5 linked regions of the Macaca fascicularis genome follow. The protein of the gene in region 1 purifies or fractionates together with the protein of each later gene. This does not show direct contact. Links are inferred from orthologs where the notes say so. Each region holds a gene or a part of one and is shown on either strand. Other genes may lie near its edges.

Region 1 (4,039 bases):
CCGAGTAGCTAGGACTACAGGCGCCCGCCGCCTCGCCCGGCTAGTTTTTTTTTTTTTTTTTTTTGTATTTTTTAGTAGAGACGGGGTTTCACCGTGTTCGCCAGGATGGTCTCGATCTCCTGACCTAGTGATCCGCCCGTCTTGGCCTCCCAAAGTGCTGGGATTACAGGCTTGAGCCACCGCGCCCGGCCACCCTTTCTTAACTTAGCATTAATCAGAAAAAATTATTTAAGATAACAGCATCATATATTTAAGTGAGATGCAAAGATAAAGAGTTTTTTCCAAGTGTTCATCTGTCCACGTCTACCAGCCAATTCACCTGCTGACCGACTTCTAACAGGTGAAAGATTAATCTCCAAAGAAGTTTTTAAAGATCCCAAATGTTCTGTGATAATTATATACATACATACATCTACAGATATACGTACATACACACACATATATATACCTTGTGCTACGATATGTACAGATACAATACATATACATAAAACTCGGTGTTCTCAGTAAAGTATGAGCCATTTTTCATTTAATTACAAGATGTTTTTCCTTTTGTTTTTAGACAAGGAGGATTTTTTGAACCTAACCCTGAACCTCTAAATAGTTCAGATAACAAAGTTTTGGAATCACGAATTCAACATTGTTAAGAAACCATCCAGTCCAAATAAACAAAGGAAACCCACATATCATTTGCCAAGATTCTAATAACCATAATCCTGTGTCACCAAATGACAATGGAGACTCGATCCTTTATCAGTCCTAAATACGAACAGCAAAGTCCCCTTTGGTCCTCATACGTACTCGAAATTGCAAAGCAGGGCCTGGGAAAAGCGGTGAAGAGGCAACCCTTATTACAAGCAGTCCGAGTAGCTGTTACTAATCCTGGTTCCAAACAGCATCCTTCCCGGTTCTCTTCTTACGGAGCAGAGTCTTTTGTCCCTTCGCCCCAAATCGCTCAAGCCATTCCTAGGAAAGCTCGAGAAACACTTCACCTCACCTGTCAAAATTACAGAAAATCCACTTTCGAATTTTTCCCGCGAAAGAATGTGACGTCATTAACGCGGGACCTCACCAGATGAGGACCCAAAACTTGGCCCGTCCACCTCCGCCCAAGCCAAAAACCGCCGTTTTCAAACCGCCAATCAAATTCTTCCTTGGCTTCGAGGCTCTCAGCCGGCCGCGCTCTCCGATGCCCCGCCCTCCCGGAACCACCTCGCCTGTGACGTAGGTGGCGCGCGCACTGCCTTGGGCCCGTCTTTCTCGAGCGGGACCGGCGAACGTTGTCGCTCATCCTATGACGCGAAAGTAACCAAGACTATCAGGATCGGGAGACGGAAAGGGCTGAAGGCCGCAGTACTTGACCCTGTATTTTGGGAGTTGAACGGAGTAAGTTACAAGCGGCGTATAGGGTCGCACAGCTTGGGCGACGTCTGATTAACTCTCCGTCCTTTTTCTTGCGGTCCACTCTATCATTTGTCGTCCTTCTTACCCCGCCTCCCGCCTGCGCATCCATCAATTCCTTGACCTAGTTATCTATGCGCACGCGCAAAAGTCTTCCGGCAGTACTTGTAGTTCTCGTTTTCAGAGAGTAGGGGCGCATAGGGGCCCAGCATGGGGAGGTTTGGGGCGCGCCCTGCCTATGACGTTGTCCTTGTGGAAGTACGGGTGCCGAGAGAAGCAGTAGTCAGTAAAGACAGTGCAGTATTTCGCAGATTGGAGCTGACTTGTGGCTGCCAGAGGATAGTGAACGTGAGGATTTATATTCTAAAATTATCATCTTCTTTTGCAGGACTCTGCCATAGTCCTCAAAGAGTTAAAAATCCAGTTATGGAAGGGAACTAACAAGTGCTAGATACGGTGTGCAGAGTGCGTTAGCAAAAAAACTTAAGCGAAAACAAATGAGGAGGCAGTTAATTAGAGGACACAGGGTGGTGGAACATCTCAAAGAGTAAGATGCCATTTAACCTGGGCCTTGAAAATTTAGTAAGGAAATTTAGACGAGAAGATTCAGACAAAGCAGAAGACACAGGCCACTACGTGTTGAGGGACTTGAATTGTAAGCAGTGACTAGAACAATGATTCTTAACCTGTTGTGAAACGCTTTTGAAAACCTAATAAAAGTTATGGATTAGCTTCTCAGGAAAACATGTATGTACCTTTTAAAACATTTTGCGAGGCCGGGCACCGTGGCTCACGCCTGTAATCCCAGCACTCTGGGAGGCCGACACGGGCGGATCACTTGAGGTCAGGGGTTCAAGACCAACCTGGCCAATGTGACAAAACCGCGTCTCTACTAAAAACACAGAAATTAGCGGGGAGTGGTGGTGCACGCCTGTAGTCCCTTAAGAGGCCGGGTTGGGAGAATCTTGAACTCGGGAAGTGGAGATTACAGTGAGCCAGGATCGCGCCACTGCACTCCAGCCTGGGCGACAGAGAGAGGCTCCGTCTCCAAACAAACATTTCGCATATAATTTCCTCAGGAAAAATTACGAAATAATTTTAAATAGCAAACACACACAAATGACTTGGTGTCCTGTCTAACTCAGTCTTCCAGGTTATCTGTCTTTCGTGATCTTTGAACTATTTTTCAACCATGTAACCCGCTACAACAACATGGAAATGAGTTTGTCCAGTAAAGATGCAATTAATTATTATTCTGAGCAGTATTTATTAATATTTATTTCAACGTTCCTTATTGCCTATGTACGTGCTTTTTTTTTTTTTTTTTTTTTTTAAGAAGGAGTCTGGCTCTGTCGCCCAGGCTGGAGTGTAGTGGCCGGATCTCAGCTCACTGCAAGCTCTGCCTCCCGGGTTTACGCCATTCTCCTGCCTCAGCCTCCCGAGTAGCTGGGACTACAGGCGCCCGCCACCTCGCCCGGCTAGTTTTTTGTATTTTTTAGTAGAGACGGGGTTTCACCGTGTTAACCGGGATGGTCTCGATCTCCTGACCTTGTGATCCTCCCACCTCGGCCTCCCAAAGTGCTGGGATTACAGGCTTGAGCCACCGCGCCCGGCCGTACCTGCTTTTTAAATTCTTCTTTGAACTGGTTTTTAACACTTAACTGATTCCTTTATTTACAGTCCAGCACCACATACCGACAGACCGCATGTATGACAGTGGTCCCATAAGATTATAGGTGTGTAGTAGGCGATACTACCTAGGTTTGTAGGTGAGTACATCATACAATAACTACATACCCTACGATGTACTTACTCACCTGAATATGCATTTCTCAGAATGTGTCCTTGTCATTAAGCAACCCATGACTGTGCTTAAATCTTTACCATGTATTCCATTTTATATTTGTACAAGAGTCTTAATTTTACCTTATCTTTAAAATGTATTATTTACAATTTAACGGAGCCCACAAGAATTCTTGTCCAGACAAAGTTGCATGGACTTCAGATTAAGAATTCCTGAGTCAGAACATAGAGTCCATGGTGATAAATTGCAGGAAATTCTAACAAAAGGTAGACAATGTGGGATCAAACATACCTGGGATAATTTACTTAGCTAGCTTGGGCCAAGTCACATAACTTTTTTGAGTTTTTGTATTAAGAAGATGGAAGAAACTGCTACCTAGTGGGATTGTGAGGATTTACAAAAATGTATATAAAATTACTGGTATTATTACCCAGTAGCTTTTATTCTGCATTTAAAGCAACTAAAATGTTACTTTTTTTTTTTTTTTGGAGTCTTGCTCTGTTGCCCAGGTTGGAGTGCAGTGGCACAATCTTGGCTCACTGCAAGCTCCGCCTCCCGGGTTCACGCCATTCTCCTGCCTCAGCCTCCCGAGTAACTGGGACTACAGGCGCCCGCCACCACACCCGGCTAATTTGTTTTCTTTTTTTTTTTTTTTTTGTATTTTTAGTAGAGATGGGATCTCACCTTGTTAACCAGAATGGTCTCCATCTCCTGACCTCGTGATCCACCGCCTCAGCCTCCCAAAGTGCTGGGATTACAAACGTGAGCCACTGCGTCGTGACTTTTTTTTTTTTAAACAATGTTTTCTTAAACTGCATATTATGTTATGGGAAGGTG
Region 2 (4,132 bases), on another chromosome or scaffold:
AGACTTAGAAAGTTAAGTAACTTCCAAGTCACCCACAGTGGAGGCCTAAATTCAAATTCAAACAACTATATATTAAGAAACAGCTATCATTTGCATATAAACTCAATGTTTTATTCTCATTCTGATTATGACCATTAGCACACTGTTTCCAAAGTTGTGGTCATGTATTAATAATATAATAAAGTTCAAATACATTAAGCACTCAGTACTGAAGACAGTGACCTATTATTAACTTAAATGTTCTATACCAAATCTCTCCTTTAGGCTTTATTATTTATTAAAATTTGAGGATACTAAAGTTTTCTTGAAATGCAGCAATCAGTCTTGGCACTCCCTCTCTGTCTCAGTCTATAAAATACCAGAAGATATGGAGCCTATCAGTCTAAATGCTGAGTCTAAACTGTAAGGAAGATATCTGAGACCACATTTATAACCAGAGAAAATAAAATGTGCTATGAATTTAGTTTGCTGTGAAACGAATCCTATTACCAGCATTAAACCGTCTGCTTCACGTTTCACGTTTGATGCATTTTGTTAGCACCTACGTCTAATGCATCAAACTGTACCCTGGCATAAATTTGTTACGTTTGAGTGGTCACAGTCTAACTCTGGTCATCCATGTGGCGAAGGGAATGTTCTATTAACAAAAAAGCCGTGGAAAGCTGAAGATGTTTATCTGGAAATTCCACCTCGTGAATAATTAAACAACAAGCCCTCATGGTGAATGAGTAATATGAAGGATTATACTATCAAACTCCTGTCTCTCTAGTCTCATACAACCCCATAATTTTCAATACCAACTACATGCTATCGATGCTCAAATATATATATTGAAGGTTTAGTCTTTTCTCTCTTTTTTTTTCTTTTTTTGAGACAGAGTCTCATTCAGTCGCAGACTGTAGTGGCGAGATCTCGGCTCACTGCAACCTCCGCCTCCAGGGTTCAAGCGATTCTCCTGCCTCAGCCTCCCCAGTAGCCGGGACTACAGGCGCCCGCCACCACGACCAGCTAATTTTTTATATTTTTAGTATACACGGGGTTTCACCGTGTTAGCCGGGGTTGTCTGGATCTCCTAACCTCTTGATCCGCCCGCCTCAGCCTCCCAAAGTGCTGGGATTACAGGCGTTAGCCACAGCTCCCGGCCCGTCGTTTCTCTTTAAAGTCCAAAATCAAATGCATCCAACTGTGGCACTAACTCACCCATCTGCATGCTATCTTGGCATCTCAGTCAAAACAGAATTTTAAATTTCCCCTCAAATCTGTTCCAACACCCTACCCTACATTTCGGTTTCCATAAACGGCACAACATCCACCAAGTTACTCCTGGCACAAGTTGAGAGTCGTCCACTCCCTGAAGATTCTCCATAGTTATCCTTTGTAGAACCCTTACTGTGTGTCAAACAATATCCATAATAGATCATCTAAATGGAACTATTTTACTTAATCCTTAGTAATCTTGTATAGGTAAGACCACTATCCCTTTAGAGAAGGAAACTGAGACAAAGAATATCTTGCCTCAGAAAGACAGAGCTACTAATTAGAAGAACAATAATTCGGGCAGGCGCTGTGGCTCACGCCTGGAATCCTAACACTTTGGGAGGCCAAGGCAGTCGGATCACGAGGTCAAGATACCGAGATCATCCTGGCCAACATGATGAAACCCCGTTTCTACTAAAAATACAAAAATTAGCTGGGCGTGGTGGCGCGCGCCTGTAGTCCCAGCTACTGAGGGAGGCTGAGGCAGGAGAATCACTTGAACCCGGGAGACGGAGGTTGCAGTGGGCCGCGATCGCGCCACTGCACTCCAGCCTGGCGACAGAGAGAGACTCCGTCCAAAAAAAAAAAAAAAAAAAAATCAAGAATTTCAGAAAACGTAGCCTGACTCCAGATCTACTACCTTCCACCACTGCGCATTTCTCCTTCAAAATACGTCCCCTATCCATTCGTTTCTCCCCATCTCTCCTGCCACCACTACTGCACACCCGGCTAAATACTGTCCTATACGGTTTCTGTTTCCATTCTTGCCACCCTAAAACCCATTCTCCTTTGAAGGCCTTCTCGCCACACTCCAGTCACATGGCCTGCTTTCAGCTCCCGCGCAGTCTCTGCCGTTAGGCGCTAACTAATCCCTTCCGCTTCTGCAGGCTCTGCTTTTCCTTCGCGTCGGCCGAGGTGATCAGCTCAAAGCCTCCCTCCTTCGAGACGCCTCACCTCGCTATACTAGCCAAAGGCGCTCTCCCTTTACATTCTTTAATTTCTTTTTGCTCTAGCCACAAGGCCTGCACGACGGCGCCAGTTATTTGTGGCTTGAACGAATGACTGAAAGGCCCTAGGTGAGTGGCGCCCCGGCGGCAACCACCACAGGCGATGCACCCTCTTCCCTCAGCCGCCGCGGTGCTCCGGCGTACGCAGGCCAGAGGAGGAAGCGGGCCTTGGCTGCTAGAGGCAGCAGCGGGAACCGCTGGGCGAAGGGGAGGGGGCCACAGGCGGCCTGGGCAGCGCAAGCGCACCTCGGCGAGGCGCGCACGCAACCCGCAATCCGGGGACCCGCGGGCGGCTCGTCCCTTCCCCCACCCCCAGCCGCCGCCGCCGCCCGCGCTTCGCAACAAAGCCGGCTGCGGAGCCACGGTCCACGCAGCCCGCCCGCGACCCCGCCGCCCCGCATGATGGTCGTAACGTCTCTCCCTTACCAGCCTTCGCTTCCTGGTGCCCAGCTCTTAGGACCGTGTGTGACTCTGGCCTTCCACGGAGACAACAGAGAAACGCACTGCAACTCGCATGGAGGAATCGGCGAAATGGCTCCGACCGCGGCGCGAGGGGGCGGGACTAGCGAGCGTACGCATGCGCAGAACGCGCGCCGGGGGCGGGGGATGGTGAGGGCGCGCCAATAGAGGGGGCGGGGCTCAGCCACCTCGCGGCGCGGAAGGGTTTCGTTGCTAGGGAGATGCGCTGCGCCAGGCAGGCAGCGGGCCAGGCCTGCTACTCTGGATAATCCGCTACCCGCGATAATCCGCTACCCGCTTTTGCGCATGTTAGGGATTTGACGACCTGTAGCATTCTGATGCAGCAAAATGTTTCGTAGGGTCTGTCATAGGGATGTCTGGTGAGAGGAGGTTCCCTTCGAAGGCAGAACTGGAAACCTTGCTGCTAACTGGGTAGGGTTGTTGAGATAATTACATGAAATGGCATATGAAGGGGGACTTAGTTCAATACCTGGCACGTGGTAGGTGTTCAGTAGGCGTAGTTACTGTATTGATTCAGATAGTCTCAACGCCAATGTCTCTTGAAAGAAATAAACTGGCCGGGCGCGGTGCCTGCAATCCCAGCACTTTGGGAGGCCGAGGTGGGCGAATCACTTGAGATCAGGAGTTCGAGACCAGCCTGGCCAACGTGGTGAAACCCCGTCTCTACTAAAAAAATACAAAAATTAGCCGGGCATGGGGGCGGGCACCTGCAATCCCAGCTACTTGGGTGGCTGGGCGGGCTCCTGCAATCCCAGCTACTCAGGAGGCTGAAGCAGGAGAATCGCTTGAACCCTGGGGTGGGGGCTGGGGGGGCGGCGGAGGTTGCAGTGGACCGAGATCACACCATTGCCTGGGCGAGAGAGTGAGGCTCCGTCTCAAAAACAAAAAACCATGAAAGAAATAAGCTTAGTGAAAGCGGGCGTTCTGCCTGGCTAACGCAGGTCGCTCTCTGCTGTGCCTGGAACATTGTAAGTGCTCAGCAAACTAGTTTAAGGTAGGAATAAAATCTGCAAGGTTGCTTTTGTTTAAATTGGATAAACTTTTGTGTTCCAAGTCTTTGGAATAATTGTATCCTTAATTATTATACTAGTCATTGTTAAATTTTGAACTCCAGTGCTTCCTATGAAGGTAATGATACACAACATTTCCAGCTGGGATTGTTCCAGGGAATCCAGATGAATCAATTATCTGGGCTCATTATATCTATGGATATAATTCACCCGTTTCCATATGTTTTTCTTAATCCTTCTAGCTCACAGTGATCACTCCCTTTAAAACTGTCATTCCTAAAATCAGCACAACATAGTTTAGCATTTACTCATTTTCTTCATGTGATTGTTCTCTTTAATTAAGAATAAAATCACTGAAGGAAAGACCTTAATTTTTTT
Region 3 (4,146 bases), on another chromosome or scaffold:
GCATTGGGCAAAATTTTATTTTGTTTCCATGATAAGTGGCTTGTAGTTCCACCCATACTGTTCCAGCCATACCGTTATTCAGAAATAATTCTTTTAGTTGGGCTTTCATTGCCAACCTACATACACTCTTCTTGGTTGGGCAACTACCTAAAGAGATTTACTCAGACATTGTTCAAAGGATGTTTTCAGAGGGCAATGATTTATAATAGCTTAGATAGACTCTCAAAGCTCTGCTTCTGAGATCGAAATTTGAACTTGTCATTTAATCACTACATGTCACTTATTTTTCTTTCTATTGCGCTCTGCGAAGCGTTGGGATACAGTCTTCAGGGGGATTGAAACCATACATGGTGAGTGGACTAGTCATTCCTCAACTATTCAGTAATAATAGCGGCTGGGCTTCTCTAATAATGGGAGTACATATGTTTCAATATACAGTTCTTATTTATTTTCCCTTATTATCAATGTTTGAATTCCAGCTCTAAGCTACTTTATTGCAATTTGGTTCTGAAGCATATGCCAAAAGCACTCAGCAAGGCTGCAGACAAATGCTTTAAAGAAAAGTGCACCTCCACTTCCAGTGACTTTATGAACATCACATTCGAAAATTAATCTTTTTTCAACTCTGTACCCTGAGTATATTTTGGACTTCCCTTCGTTCCCAAATACCCTGAATTCAAGGTATCTCAATCCATGGAGCAGTTGTCCAGAGAAGAGAGAAGCAACAGCCCCGCCCCCAACCCTTGGGAGCAGAAAGGGAAAGAATTATCCAAAGGAATTGTTTTAAAACTCAGATATAGCGGACAGATGTAAAACCACGGCTGCATAGATTGATGTCCCAGGGGTCCAAAACTTAATGTCAAATGAGGAATAATTTGTTTAGCATTAAACTAAACCAGTTTGATGAACTCAAATGCCCTCGGCTCAATAGGCAGGACTCTCCGAGGAGCCTGTGTTACTTCCCTCACTTAAGTGCAGATTTGTAATAAAAATCTTAATGCCAGTGGCATGCTTTTTGGATATATCAGAAGCTAACCACTTGGAGAATCATATTTGAGAGGTCAGAAAACTCCACAGTTAAAGATCGGTTTATAATTTACGAAGAAAATAGAAAGTTTTGTTTCTCTGAGTTGAAATTTGCCAAGCACGGCGGGAAATATTGCAAGTTTTTGGCACAAGGCTTTGTGCTTTCCTCATAATTTGAGATCTGCGTGAAGCCTGAGGGTTCGGGGATCATTATCTGAGAAAAACCGGGTAGTTCGGTGCAGACAATTTTTATATTTTTGGCTTTTTTTGAGGTGTAACAAACACAACTCGGGATCCGAGAGGACACTCTGCGGCTGCCAGCGAGGCGGGCTGGACAGCGCACCAATCACGGCGCAGCTCCGCCCTATATAAACGGGCGGGCGCAGCGCCGCGGCCCGAGTCCCGGCCAGTGCCTCTGCTTCCGGCTCGAATTGCTCTCTCTCTCACGCCTGCCTTCAACATGTCCGAGACTGCGCCTGCCGCGCCCGCTGCTCCGGCCCCTGCCGAGAAAACACCCGTGAAGAAGAAGGCTCGCAAGTCCGCAGGTGCGGCTAAGCGCAAAGCGTCTGGGCCCCCCGTGTCCGAGCTCATTACTAAGGCTGTTGCCGCCTCCAAGGAGCGCAGCGGTGTATCTTTGGCCGCTCTCAAGAAAGCGCTGGCAGCCGCTGGCTATGACGTGGAGAAGAACAACAGCCGCATCAAGCTGGGTCTCAAGAGCCTGGTGAGCAAGGGCACTCTGGTGCAGACCAAGGGCACCGGCGCATCGGGTTCTTTCAAACTCAACAAGAAGGCGGCCTCCGGGGAAGCCAAGCCTAAAGCTAAAAAGGCAGGCGCGGCCAAAGCCAAGAAGCCTACAGGAGCGGCGAAGAAGCCCAAGAAGGCGACGGGGGCAGCCACCCCTAAGAAGAGCGCCAAGAAGACCCCAAAGAAGGCGAAGAAGCCGGCTGCGGCTGCTGGAGCCAAAAAAGCGAAAAGCCCGAAAAAGGCTAAAGCAGCCAAGCCAAAAAAAGCGCCCAAGAGCCCAGCGAAGGCCAAAGCAGTGAAACCCAAGGCGGCTAAACCAAAGACCGCCAAGCCCAAGGCAGCCAAGCCAAAGAAGGCGGCAGCCAAGAAAAAGTAGGAAGTTCCTTTGGCCAACTGCTTAGAAGCTCAACACAACCCAAAGGCTCTTTTCAGAGCCACCCACCGCTTTCAGTAAAAGAGCTGTTACACTATCAGGGGGTGTGGCCGGGAAAACGCCGCTATTGAGGGGCGGGTCTCCCGGGAACAAAGTCGGGAGAGAGGAGCCGTTTTTGGCCAGGGGGTCATTTCTCGTTCCGTCGGCCAAGCAGGAGTGCAGCCGCGTCATTGAGCTTTTATTGCGTTTTCGAATACTGGAGTTAAAACCCATTTCGACCTCCGTAGTACTTAACACTTAGCGAGATCTGGCCTGCAAATAGCATGGGAAAAAAAGTCGGGATTTTCCCGGGCTTCTAGGCTGGGACGTATGAGTTCCGAATAGAGAACACTCAATTTCCGTGCTGGCTCCCTACAGACTATGGCAAGCAATGGAGTGCAGAGGAGTACGTCTCGACACAGGTGGCATAGTACACTATTTCAACCACTGCCACAACTAAAAATTAGAAATTGACACTGCAGAAAATACGTGGTCCTTAAATGTAGCATTTGCATAGATGAAGGACTTCCCAAACGCAAAACTGCCAGACTTCCAGGGATATCCCAATTACCATGACTTCTGTATGCAACGAGTCCTATAATTTGTTAGAGGAAGAAAAGAGAACGTGAGCTCTCCTAAAGTATCTTTCAGTATACGTTCTGACACCACAACGCTAATAAAAAGTGTGATCTCAAAAACAACTGCTCCAAGAGAAGTGCACAGCTGACTTGTCTAAAGACGACTATTTATAGTAGCCTCGGGTAGTCTGGTCTGGGCTTTCTGATTGGGTAAAAGTAAAGTAATGAAATAGCCAATGAAAAGGTAGACTTTTAAGTGTCGTTTACATTGGCATTTGTGACGACACACAAAAATTAATCCAATCATAAACGAAATCTGATTAACCTCATTTGAATACCGCATCTATAAATGAACGGGGCATCGGTGGGAGTGATTATTTTCTCAGGTGTTTGCGACAGTGTTGTAATTATTAACGTTGCTATGCCTGAGCCTACCAAGTCTGCTCCTGCCCCAAAGAAGGGCTCCAAGAAGGCGGTGACTAAGGCGCAGAAGAAGGACGGGAAGAAGCGCAAGCGCAGCCGCAAAGAGAGCTATTCCGTGTATGTGTACAAGGTGCTGAAGCAGGTCCACCCCGACACCGGCATCTCTTCCAAGGCTATGGGGATCATGAATTCCTTCGTCAACGACATCTTCGAGCGCATCGCCGGCGAGGCTTCCCGCCTGGCGCACTACAACAAGCGCTCGACCATCACTTCCAGGGAGATCCAGACGGCCGTGCGCCTGCTGCTTCCGGGGGAGCTGGCCAAGCACGCCGTGTCGGAGGGCACCAAGGCCGTCACCAAGTACACCAGTTCCAAGTAACTTTGCCAAGTAAGCATCTTTACACCTAATCCCAAAGGCTCTTTTAAGAGCCACGCATGTTTTCAGTAAATGAGTTGTAATTTCATTCAAAAGGGGGATTATTGGATTTCTCAGCACCATACTACCAATCTTTAATGTTATGTTAGTACTGCAGAGGAAATACTTGGAAATTATAGGTAGTAACAATAGGTACCAGAAGTTGAGTGCTATGGGCACATACTAGATCATTAGCTCATTTAGTGTCAGATAACACTAACATAAACTGAAAGTACTGTAAGTGTACAGCTCTTTCGTTTCCGTGTGCAGATTTCCAAGTTGATCGTGATGTTGATCTGGGACTTCGTGTGGTGACGGCCCACCCTGAGCACAAAAGAGCACCCTTTTGCAACTTCCTTCTGTTTGGAGCTTTCTCCACCATCACCCCCGCCCCCCGTTTTCTTGTAAAATTTTTACCATGCAGATACGTGATAACTGCAAGTAAAGGCTGAAGACAATGTGAGCTGAACACGGAAGTATTACAAAGGTTTCTGGTTTGCTTTGTAATTGGGCCAGTTTCTCTCTGAAGCTCTTAGGCGAGTAGGGGA
Region 4 (4,236 bases), on another chromosome or scaffold:
GAGGCAGGAGAATCGCTTGAAACGGGAGGCGGAGGTTGCGGAGAGCCAAGATCACACCATTGCACTCCAGCCTGGGCAACAAGAACAAAACTCCACCTCCAAAAAAAAAAAAAAAACCAATTTATAAGGCCTGGCTGGGCACGGTGGTTCACACCTGTAATCCCAGGACTTTGGGTAGAGGCAGAGGCAGGTGGATCACCTGAGGTCAGGAGTTTGAGACCAGTTTGGGCAACATGGCGAAACCCCTCCTTGACTAAAAACACAAAAATTAGCCAGGCATGGTGGCAGATATCTATAATCTAATATGATTTACAGCGCCCACCCTGATCTGGCCCATAGGTATGTCTCCACTACCTCTCTCACCTGCTAAACTCCATCAACTAAATTACTTTCTTTTTTTTTTTTTCAGACAGAGTCTCGTTCTGTCACCCAGGCTGAGTGCAGTGGCACAACCTCAGCTCGCTGAAACCTTCACCTCCTGGGATCAAGCAATTCTCCTGCCTCAGCCTCCCAAGTAGCTGGGACTACCGGCTGGGCCACCATGCCTGGCTAATTTTTGTATTTTTAGTAGAGATGGGGTTTCACCTTGTTGGCCAGGCTGGTGTCGAACTCCTGACCTCAAGTGATCCGCCCGCCTCAGTCTCCCAAAGTGCTGGGATTACAGGCATGAGCCACCACAATCGGCCTAAATTATTTTCAGTTCCACTTCTCTCTGGCAACCAAGCCTTCTCATGTGGTGATCCACGGGACAGGAAACATCTGAAATGATCTGATAATTCATTAACTGAAGAAGAAGAAAAAACTTGTAAATGCCTTACTTCTAAAAACTTCAGTAGACAATATGGGGTAGAGAGATGATGCAGTCCCAAATTACAACAGCCTTTTTTTGAGGGGGCAGAGTCTCGCTCTGTCGCCCAGGCTGGAGTGCACTGGTACCATCTTGGCTCACTGAAACCTCTGCCTCCCAAATTCGAGCGATTCTCCTGCCTCAGCTTCCCCAGTAGCTGAGATTATAGGCACTCGCCACCAAACATGGCTAATTTTTGTATTTTTAGTAGGGACGGGGTTTCACCATTTTGGCCAGGCTGGTCTTGAAGTCCTGGCCTCAAGTGATCGACCCGCCTGGGCCTCCCAAAGTGCTGGTATTACAGGTGCGAGCCACCGCGCCTGGCTGACAACCTTAATGACAACACACATACAAAAAGGAAAGCGTTTTAAGGATACACTGAAATAGAATTTCGAACAAAAAGATTTACTCCGTACTGATAGGATGCTTAGGAAACACATCTGGACATCAGCAGGAAACAAACTGGCGATAAAAAAGACACCCATTTTGAGATGCACACACCCTTAAGATACAAACATTACTGTCAGCCACACATTTAAATAGAAGCTGCACCCAAGAAAATTTTCATACACAGAGTGGAAAGAACTTTAAAACTATACAAGTTTTCTCCACCACAAAATAAGTATATTTCCTGACAAACAAAAATATGTGGGAGAGGATACCTCATTTTTTTTTTAATTTTTTTTTCTGAGACGGAGTTTCACTATTGTTGCCCAAGCTGGAGTGTAGTGGCGCGATCTCGGCTCACTGCAACCTCCGCCTCCCGGGTTCAAGCGATTCTCCTGCCTCAGCCTCCTGACTAGCTGGGATTACAGCTGCCCGCCACTAAGCCGGGGTAATTTTTTGTATTTTTAGTAGACAGGGGTTTAATTATGTTGGCCAGGCTGGTCTCGAACTCCTGACCTCAGGTGATCCACCCGCCTCGGCCTCCCAGAAGTGCAGAGATTACAGGTGTGAGCCACCGCACCCGGCCGTTACCTCATTTTTGAAATAGAAAGAAAATGAAATACACACCACCACTCTAAGTAACTTAAGGACCCAGTATTTTGTAAACGATTTAAAACATTAGATTCGTGGGTAACCCCTACAAACGTAAACTAACATCTTTCCTCTGAAATTCTATAAAACAGCAGCTACTAATTGAGCATCTTAATGCAAAGCATTGTGATGGACACAGAATCAAACACAAGAGGTATCATCCCATTTTATAGACAAGACGACCAAGAATTTGACAGGTCACTTAAACAGCTAGCAGATGAGGAATGGATTTTGGACCAAGGCTGAGGCATTAATTCTAGACCACCCTTTATAAGACTTTCAGGTACTGAATTTCTCGAAATTTACACACTAGGTTTCGGAAGCAGCCCTCAACAGAGAAACCTCTGCCAGACCCAAACCCCTAGGGCACAGCGGAAAATGAGAAACTTAACGTCACCAGAGCCGATCAGAACACAATGAAGAGAGAGTTGGAAGGGCTGGTTAAAACACGAAGCCGGGAAGGATACGAATGCCCAGCAAGGTTGGTGGCACGGGTGAGCGAGCGGGAAATCAACTCCGCCTCGCTTCCCTAGCGCGAACTGAGTTTCAGCCCGCCCCATCGTGGGCTCTCCCAACTAGACATCCAGCTTCTGCCCACCTTCTTCCCCACTTTCGTCCCCCACCAGAGCCTGAGACCTAGACGCCAGAGCATGGCGGGACCAACTCAAAGGCCGAAGGCCTAGGCCGCAAGGATACACGTTAAGACGCTGCCCCATGTCCTGGAGCAGATTGGCCGCCTGCTGGCGATAAGAAAGTTCTTTATCTGGGTCCACACCAAATCGACGGGATGGGCTATTTTCCAGCTGTTCTCGAGTGAAATACCACCGTTTGTTGTTGTTCTTCCTGTCTCCCTCCATAATGCTTCAACCAGAAGGCAGCGGCGGAGGCTGCAAACACTTCCCAGCGTCACCTAAGTAGCGACCCACATCCGCTGTGCGGGGGCAACTGCGACTTGACGAACTTCCGCTAAGCGTCGACCGCCGGGTTGTGACTCTCTTCCGTAAAGAAAGCAAAAGTCAAAGGACCTACTTCCGGAATGCACCTCGCGACACCCCGTAGCCGAGTTAACAGCCAATATGCGACGAGAAAAAAACCTTGAGGCGAGGACGCAGGCGCGTCACGTGACCCTTGGGAGGTGGCGTGGGCTTAGAAGTTCTCGCTTAAAAACCATGAATCTTCCCGCGAGAACCGGATTGAGCGTTGGCGCCCGGGGTTAGGTTGTGAGGTCGCAATTGTAGTGGTATGAGGCGCCCGCCCACGCGCCGCTTGGTGGTTCTTAGGAGAACTTAGTTTGTGACTGCAGTGGTGATATAAAATGGGGCAGATGGACCGCGCGCGGTGGTTCACGTCGGTAATCTCAGCACTTTGGGAGCCCGAAGCAGGCGGATCACGAGGTCAGGAGTTCGAGACCAGCCTGGTCAATATGGCGAAACCCTGGTCTCTACTAAAAATACAAAATTAGCCGGGCGTGGTGGCGTGCGCCTGTAGTCCCAGGAACTCGGGAAGCTGAGGCAGGAGAATCGCTTGAACCCGGGAGACGGAGGTCGCAGTGAGCCGAGATCGCGCCACTGCACCCCAGCCTCCAGCCTGGGTGACAAAGCGAGACTCCGTCTAAAAAATAAATAAAATAAAAATGGGGCAGATGAACTTGAAAGAGAAAGTAGGTGAGGTTGTCAGAAACTGAAAAACAGAATCAAATGGTGGGGCTCTTTCGTATATGGGAACATAAAGCAACTAGAAGGCTGTTACATTGTTGGTAGCAATGTAAAATACGACAACCCATTTGGAGAGGTCGCTTTAATGTGTAGCCAAATTCATGAAAACATTCTCACGTTTCGCCGCAGTGATCCAACTTAAAGGAATAAAATGAAATTAATAACATTAAGAGCTTACATGTCCCATGCACAATACTGACTTAAATATACTGTTTCATTTATTCAGCGGAACTCTCAAGAGGTAATTTTTAAGTACGTTTGCTAATGGGTGAACTAATACTGCCCCTTGAGTGTGAAAAGCCTCCACCACTACCCCTCACTTGCAGAGATTAGCAAATTCCTGCCCTCTGTCAAGATATTTCCCAGCTCCTTTGCCGGCGCGGTGGCTCACGCCTGTAATCCCAGCAGTTTGGGAGGCCAAGGCGGGCGGATCACCTGAAGTCCGGAGTTGGAGACCAGCCTGGCCAACATGGTGAAACCTCGTCTCTACTGAAAATACAAAAATTAGCCAAGTGTGGTGGCGCACGCCTGTAATCCCAGCTACTCGGGAGGCTGAGGCAGGAGAATGATTTGAACCCGGGAGGCGAAGGTTGCAGTGAGCCTAAATCTCACCACTGCACTCCAGCCTAGGCGACA
Region 5 (4,061 bases), on another chromosome or scaffold:
ATACTAAGATTGTGGAGGTGGGGTTACTTGCCTCCTGGTTGAGAAGGTGTCACACAAAGAATACCTGAAAACTTTGGAAAGAACGTTAGCTCCCATTCAATTCAAAGTTACCTAGGTCTATGACATTTCTAGGAATACCTTTTGATGGGGTGGGATTAACTTGATTAGTAAAAATCATTTCTACTGAAAATCCATTTAAAATATAGAAGAGGCGATCCTTGAAAACCCCAACTTTTATTCTTGAAAGACAGCTGGATTAACTGGCAAAAGCCAGTTTGTTGAAATTTCAAGATGGTATAAAAATGCTTCCAGGATATAGTCAGCATATTCACGTTAACTTCAGTTCCTTTCACAGATGGATTTCAGCTTCCACCGGGTGCACTGCTTGAATCACTCATCCATCATTTGCCAACTCTGATTGTGAGGTACTGATACAATGGATCAAGTTCTTAAAAATTTTAAAAGAATAAATGATGCTGGAATTCTGGACCTGAGGATCTTTAGTATTTGAACAAATCCACAGATTAAACTGAAGGTAAATTAAGACTTCAGTTTTGGTTATTTCCAACTTTTCCGTGAGGATGTATATTCCATTAAAGCTCAGGCTTATAGCCACACTGTTCCTTTTGTAGGTAATCTTCAAGTTTTATGGTTTAAAATCCAGCCAACCAGTGGCTGTAACAGCCGAATTAGCCATAATTCACTGGCTCACACAGTGGAGATCTGGCTCTCATTCATACCAAAGCCATTTCTTGGTAATGACCTCCATATTTAGAGATCAGGGGAAGAACTTTAGTGAGCAGCAACCAATCCACTCAAACAGTCTGCCTTGTGCTTTATGCCTGACTTTTTCTTGTGCCTACCTCAGCAACCCCCAATGTAAAACTGCTTCTATCTTCGAAAATTTTTTGTCAACTTTGGAACTATTTTAGTAACGGATTCTACTCCAAGCATTGCTATCTGAATCCACTGGCATCCCGGAAAACAATTCTGCAAAGACAAGACATTTGCCTTGGTCTCCAGGTTCCATGCAAAACCATTTTTCAAAAAAAAAATGGATCCAATTTGGTTCTGTATTCTTAGATGGCTTCTTGAAATCTTATCTTTAACCCATGATTATCCCAAGTTGCATTTCTTTTCATGAACCTGAACCCTCAGAACTGGATAATTGTAAAGGCCTCTCTTCTCAAGGATTCCATGAAGACCTAGATCCAAAATGCTGATTTCAATGGAGGTGAAGGGATAGACACTGCAAGAGTGAGGCGTAGAGAGAGATCTTTTGTGCCAGATTACCCAGATGCAACCTAAATGCAACTGTTATCAATGGTCTGGGTAACCTGGACGTGTTTCTTGCCCCGGATGTGCAAGGATCTATTCCCTCCAGGGATTATCCTCATGGGTTTAGGAACCTCAGTTGAGAAACAACAGAAGCTGAGACAATTTTATGCAGGTGAGGAGATGCTGTTGTCCTCTTTGCAGGTTGCTGTCAGTTCCTTGGAACTTGACTGCTTTTCTCAAGTTGTCCGTCACTGTTCTCTTACGATTATTTCTCTTAACTATATTATGTTTTGTTTTTTTCCCTCTGCGGCCTCCCTGGCTCCCTCTCCACTAGCTCACTGGGGATGAGCAGGAAGGGGAATTCTCTAGCCAACGGGATTGTGGTGGGGTGGAGGAGGCCTGTAGGGGAAGCTGCCTGTTTCAATCCTCATCCACCTCCTCACCCTCTGACTCTTCGCCGCCGCCGCTGCCCCCACCACGTCGCTCATAAAGCTTATCCCTCTGTCTTTCCTGGATTTCTTTCATCTCATCCGCATACCGGCAAAAGGCGCCTCCGAACTTGCCCCAGGCTTTGAAGGGCACGGTGATGGCATTGCGGTAGGACGGCTTCACCTCGCTCACTCGCAGAAACACCCCGTATTTGTTGCAGCCCACATCGAAGAAGAAGCGCTTGGAGTCCACGGTGATGGAGGTGCCCTCCGGGAGCTCTCCATACAGGCCGCCCCCTGGGCCGCCGGCGCCGCCTCCCGGGCCGCCTGCCAGCTCGTCGTCCTCGCCTCCGTAGTCGTCGATGAGCTTGGCCAGCGCGTCGCGGAACTCGATGAGGCCCTGCGCAGGCAGCGCGATGGTCTGGCCGCTCTGCAAGCCGCCGGGCCCGGGGCCCGCGCCGAAGCCGCCACTGCCGCGGTTGACCGTTTGGCGGATGCGCAGGAAGCGGCCGCGCTGGTTCTCCTTGAGGTCCAGGTAGTACTTGCGGTTCTCACGCACCAGGAATTCGCTCTTGAGCGCGCGCCGCGGCCCGCCGCCCTCCTCGGCGCCCGCCGCCAGCTGCTCGGGGCTGCTAGGGCCCAGCTGCGCGTAGTGCTCTATGAAGTCTCCCAGTGAGTCGCGGAACTCGGCGGCCACCGCCATGGACAGCGTGAGGCGGCTCTTGGAACCGCCCGCGCCCACCTCGGCGATCTTGAGGAAGCGGCCTTTGGCGTTCTGCTTCACATCTAAGTAGAAGCGCTTGTTCTGGATGTCCAGCCGCTTCGAGGCCAGCTCCTGCGTCTCCTGCTCGCCGCCGCCGCGGGACGCGGGCTGGAACCCGCCCGGCCCACCGCCGCCGCCGCGCTCGCTGCCGCTGTCGCCGTCCGCCATCTTCTCGGCCGCCGCCTCGCCGCCACCGCCCGCCGCGCTCGCGCCCCCGCCCTCCGCCCTGCGGCTCGCGCTCCGGGGCCCCCCAGCCTCGCCCGCCCGGCTCGCTCACGCGCTCCCGCCGCTCATCGCCGGCCGCCGCCGCCCCCCATCGCCTCCGCGCCCCGCCCCCGCCACTTCCGTGCAGCCCTAGGCACTTCCGGCGCGCGACTTCCCGTGAGGTCACTCCGTCCCGCCCGCCGCGGCCTCGCGGCCGGAAGCGCCGCGGCGGCGTGGCGCAGAGGGGTGACGTCAGGGTCCGCGCTGGGCGGGCGGCAAGGTGGGAGTCGGTTAGTGCTACTGCTCGGTTTCTAGGCCTGGGGACTTGCCAGCGTTAGCGTGACTCAGGCTCCCACTGCGTCTGTCGACGCGCCTCTCCCCCATGACACTTCTACTTTAGACTCCAGTGTCGTTCACTTCCCTCCTCGTTTCCGGGGCGTTAGCTGAGCATGCTCAGGCCCCAGCCTGCCTGCCCTGGTTGTGTGCTGGGAACGGGGTTCCAGTCTACGCACTATGGCGATAGGGGTGAGGGAGATCCTTTGGAGTACTCGGCAGCGGGTTCTTACCGGCCTGTGGGGTTCCCCAGAGCAGGCATGAGCTCACTCTGAAGGGCAAGCTGCAGTTGGCTTGGCAACTCTGGAGAAGAGCCACCCAGCATAGGAGACGGCAGTGCAGAGGCACCCAGGGCGTGACACTGGGAGCTCAGAGCAGCTGGGGGTGTGTATGCCTGAAGAATGGTCGTAGATGACACGGTGGGGTGGAATAGATAAAGGAAAGCTATTTGTAGTGCGGGAGAGTTAGTGCCTACTCCAGAGTCTGGAGCCACCACATGTGATCAGATTCACATTTTGGAAAGATCACTGTGGGAACAACATAGAAGATGGTTTAGAATGAGGTGAGATTTGGGATCCAGAGATCAGTTAACTGTCCACACAGTTAGCCATATTAAAATGGTTAAGGGAATTGACTCTGCCAATCTTTAGTTTCTTTATCAATAAAACGAATAATTCCTATGAGGTCTTTTTGTTGTAAGCATTGAGGTGTAACAAGAGGCAGTATTGGAATAGTGTTAAAAAGTGTAGGCTCTGCAATTGCACTGGGTTTGAAATTGACCTTGGCCAGTTACTTAGTATTTTCCCAAGCCAAAATGTCCTCATCTTTAAATTTTTTTTTTTTTTTTTTTTTAAATTTGAGTCTTGCTCTGTCGCCCAGGCTGGAGTGCAGTGACATGATTTCGGCTCACTACACCCTCCACCTCCCAGGTTCAAGCAATTCTCCTACCTCAGTTTCCTGAGTAGCTGGGATTACAGGCATCTGCCACCACACCCGGCTAATTTTTGTATTTTTAGTAGAGACAGGGTTCCACAATGTTGGCCAGGCTGGTCTTG

Evidence for each region. Proteins that work in one complex are often made in the same cells at the same time.
Region 2: the proteins of LARP7 (region 1) and DHX9 purify together in Homo sapiens (affinity purification with mass spectrometry; 3 studies listed by BioGRID and IntAct, with this or other methods). This does not show direct contact. The link is inferred for Macaca fascicularis from reciprocal best matches to the Homo sapiens genes LARP7 and DHX9.
Region 3: the proteins of LARP7 (region 1) and H1-4 purify together in Homo sapiens (affinity purification with mass spectrometry; 3 studies listed by BioGRID and IntAct, with this or other methods). This does not show direct contact. The link is inferred for Macaca fascicularis from reciprocal best matches to the Homo sapiens genes LARP7 and H1-4.
Region 4: the proteins of LARP7 (region 1) and CCNT1 purify together in Homo sapiens (affinity purification with mass spectrometry; 10 studies listed by BioGRID and IntAct, with this or other methods). This does not show direct contact. The link is inferred for Macaca fascicularis from reciprocal best matches to the Homo sapiens genes LARP7 and CCNT1.
Region 5: the proteins of LARP7 (region 1) and PURB purify together in Homo sapiens (affinity purification with mass spectrometry; 3 studies listed by BioGRID and IntAct, with this or other methods). This does not show direct contact. The link is inferred for Macaca fascicularis from reciprocal best matches to the Homo sapiens genes LARP7 and PURB.

What each region holds. Positions count from the first base shown.
Region 1 is NC_088379.1:118,138,925-118,142,963, forward strand, and holds the start of LARP7 (la-related protein 7), read left to right. Parts: upstream 1-1,239; 5' UTR 1,240-1,383; exon of another isoform or gene 1,384-2,145; intron 2,146-3,078; 5' UTR 3,079-3,167; intron 3,168-3,869; 5' UTR 3,870-3,964; intron 3,965-4,039. UniProt on the Homo sapiens protein: RNA-binding protein that specifically binds distinct small nuclear RNA (snRNAs) and regulates their processing and function.
Region 2 is NC_088375.1:40,371,624-40,375,755, reverse strand, and holds the start of DHX9 (ATP-dependent RNA helicase A), read right to left. Parts: upstream 2,801-4,132; 5' UTR 2,691-2,800; intron 1-2,690. UniProt on the Homo sapiens protein: Multifunctional ATP-dependent nucleic acid helicase that unwinds DNA and RNA in a 3' to 5' direction and that plays important roles in many processes, such as DNA replication, transcriptional activation, post-transcriptional RNA regulation, mRNA translation and RNA-mediated gene silencing.
Region 3 is NC_088378.1:146,774,866-146,779,011, reverse strand, and holds the start of H1-4 (histone H1.4), read left to right. Parts: upstream 1-1,423; 5' UTR 1,424-1,486; coding exon 1,487-2,146; 3' UTR 2,147-3,181; coding exon of another isoform or gene 3,182-3,562; 3' UTR 3,563-3,571; intron 3,572-3,868; exon of another isoform or gene 3,869-4,146. Other genes in the region: histone H2B type 1-M, read left to right, coding at 3,182-3,562. UniProt on the Homo sapiens protein: Histone H1 protein binds to linker DNA between nucleosomes forming the macromolecular structure known as the chromatin fiber. Histones H1 are necessary for the condensation of nucleosome chains into higher-order structured fibers.
Region 4 is NC_088385.1:55,529,737-55,533,972, forward strand, and holds the start of CCNT1 (cyclin-T1), read right to left. Parts: upstream 2,801-4,236; 5' UTR 2,743-2,800; coding exon 2,582-2,742; intron 1-2,581. UniProt on the Homo sapiens protein: Regulatory subunit of the cyclin-dependent kinase pair (CDK9/cyclin-T1) complex, also called positive transcription elongation factor B (P-TEFb), which facilitates the transition from abortive to productive elongation by phosphorylating the CTD (C-terminal domain) of the large subunit of RNA polymerase II (RNA Pol II).
Region 5 is NC_088377.1:85,453,972-85,458,032, reverse strand, and holds the start of PURB (transcriptional regulator protein Pur-beta), read right to left. Parts: upstream 2,801-4,061; 5' UTR 2,638-2,800; coding exon 1,699-2,637; 3' UTR 1-1,698. UniProt on the Homo sapiens protein: Transcriptional regulator which can act as an activator or a repressor.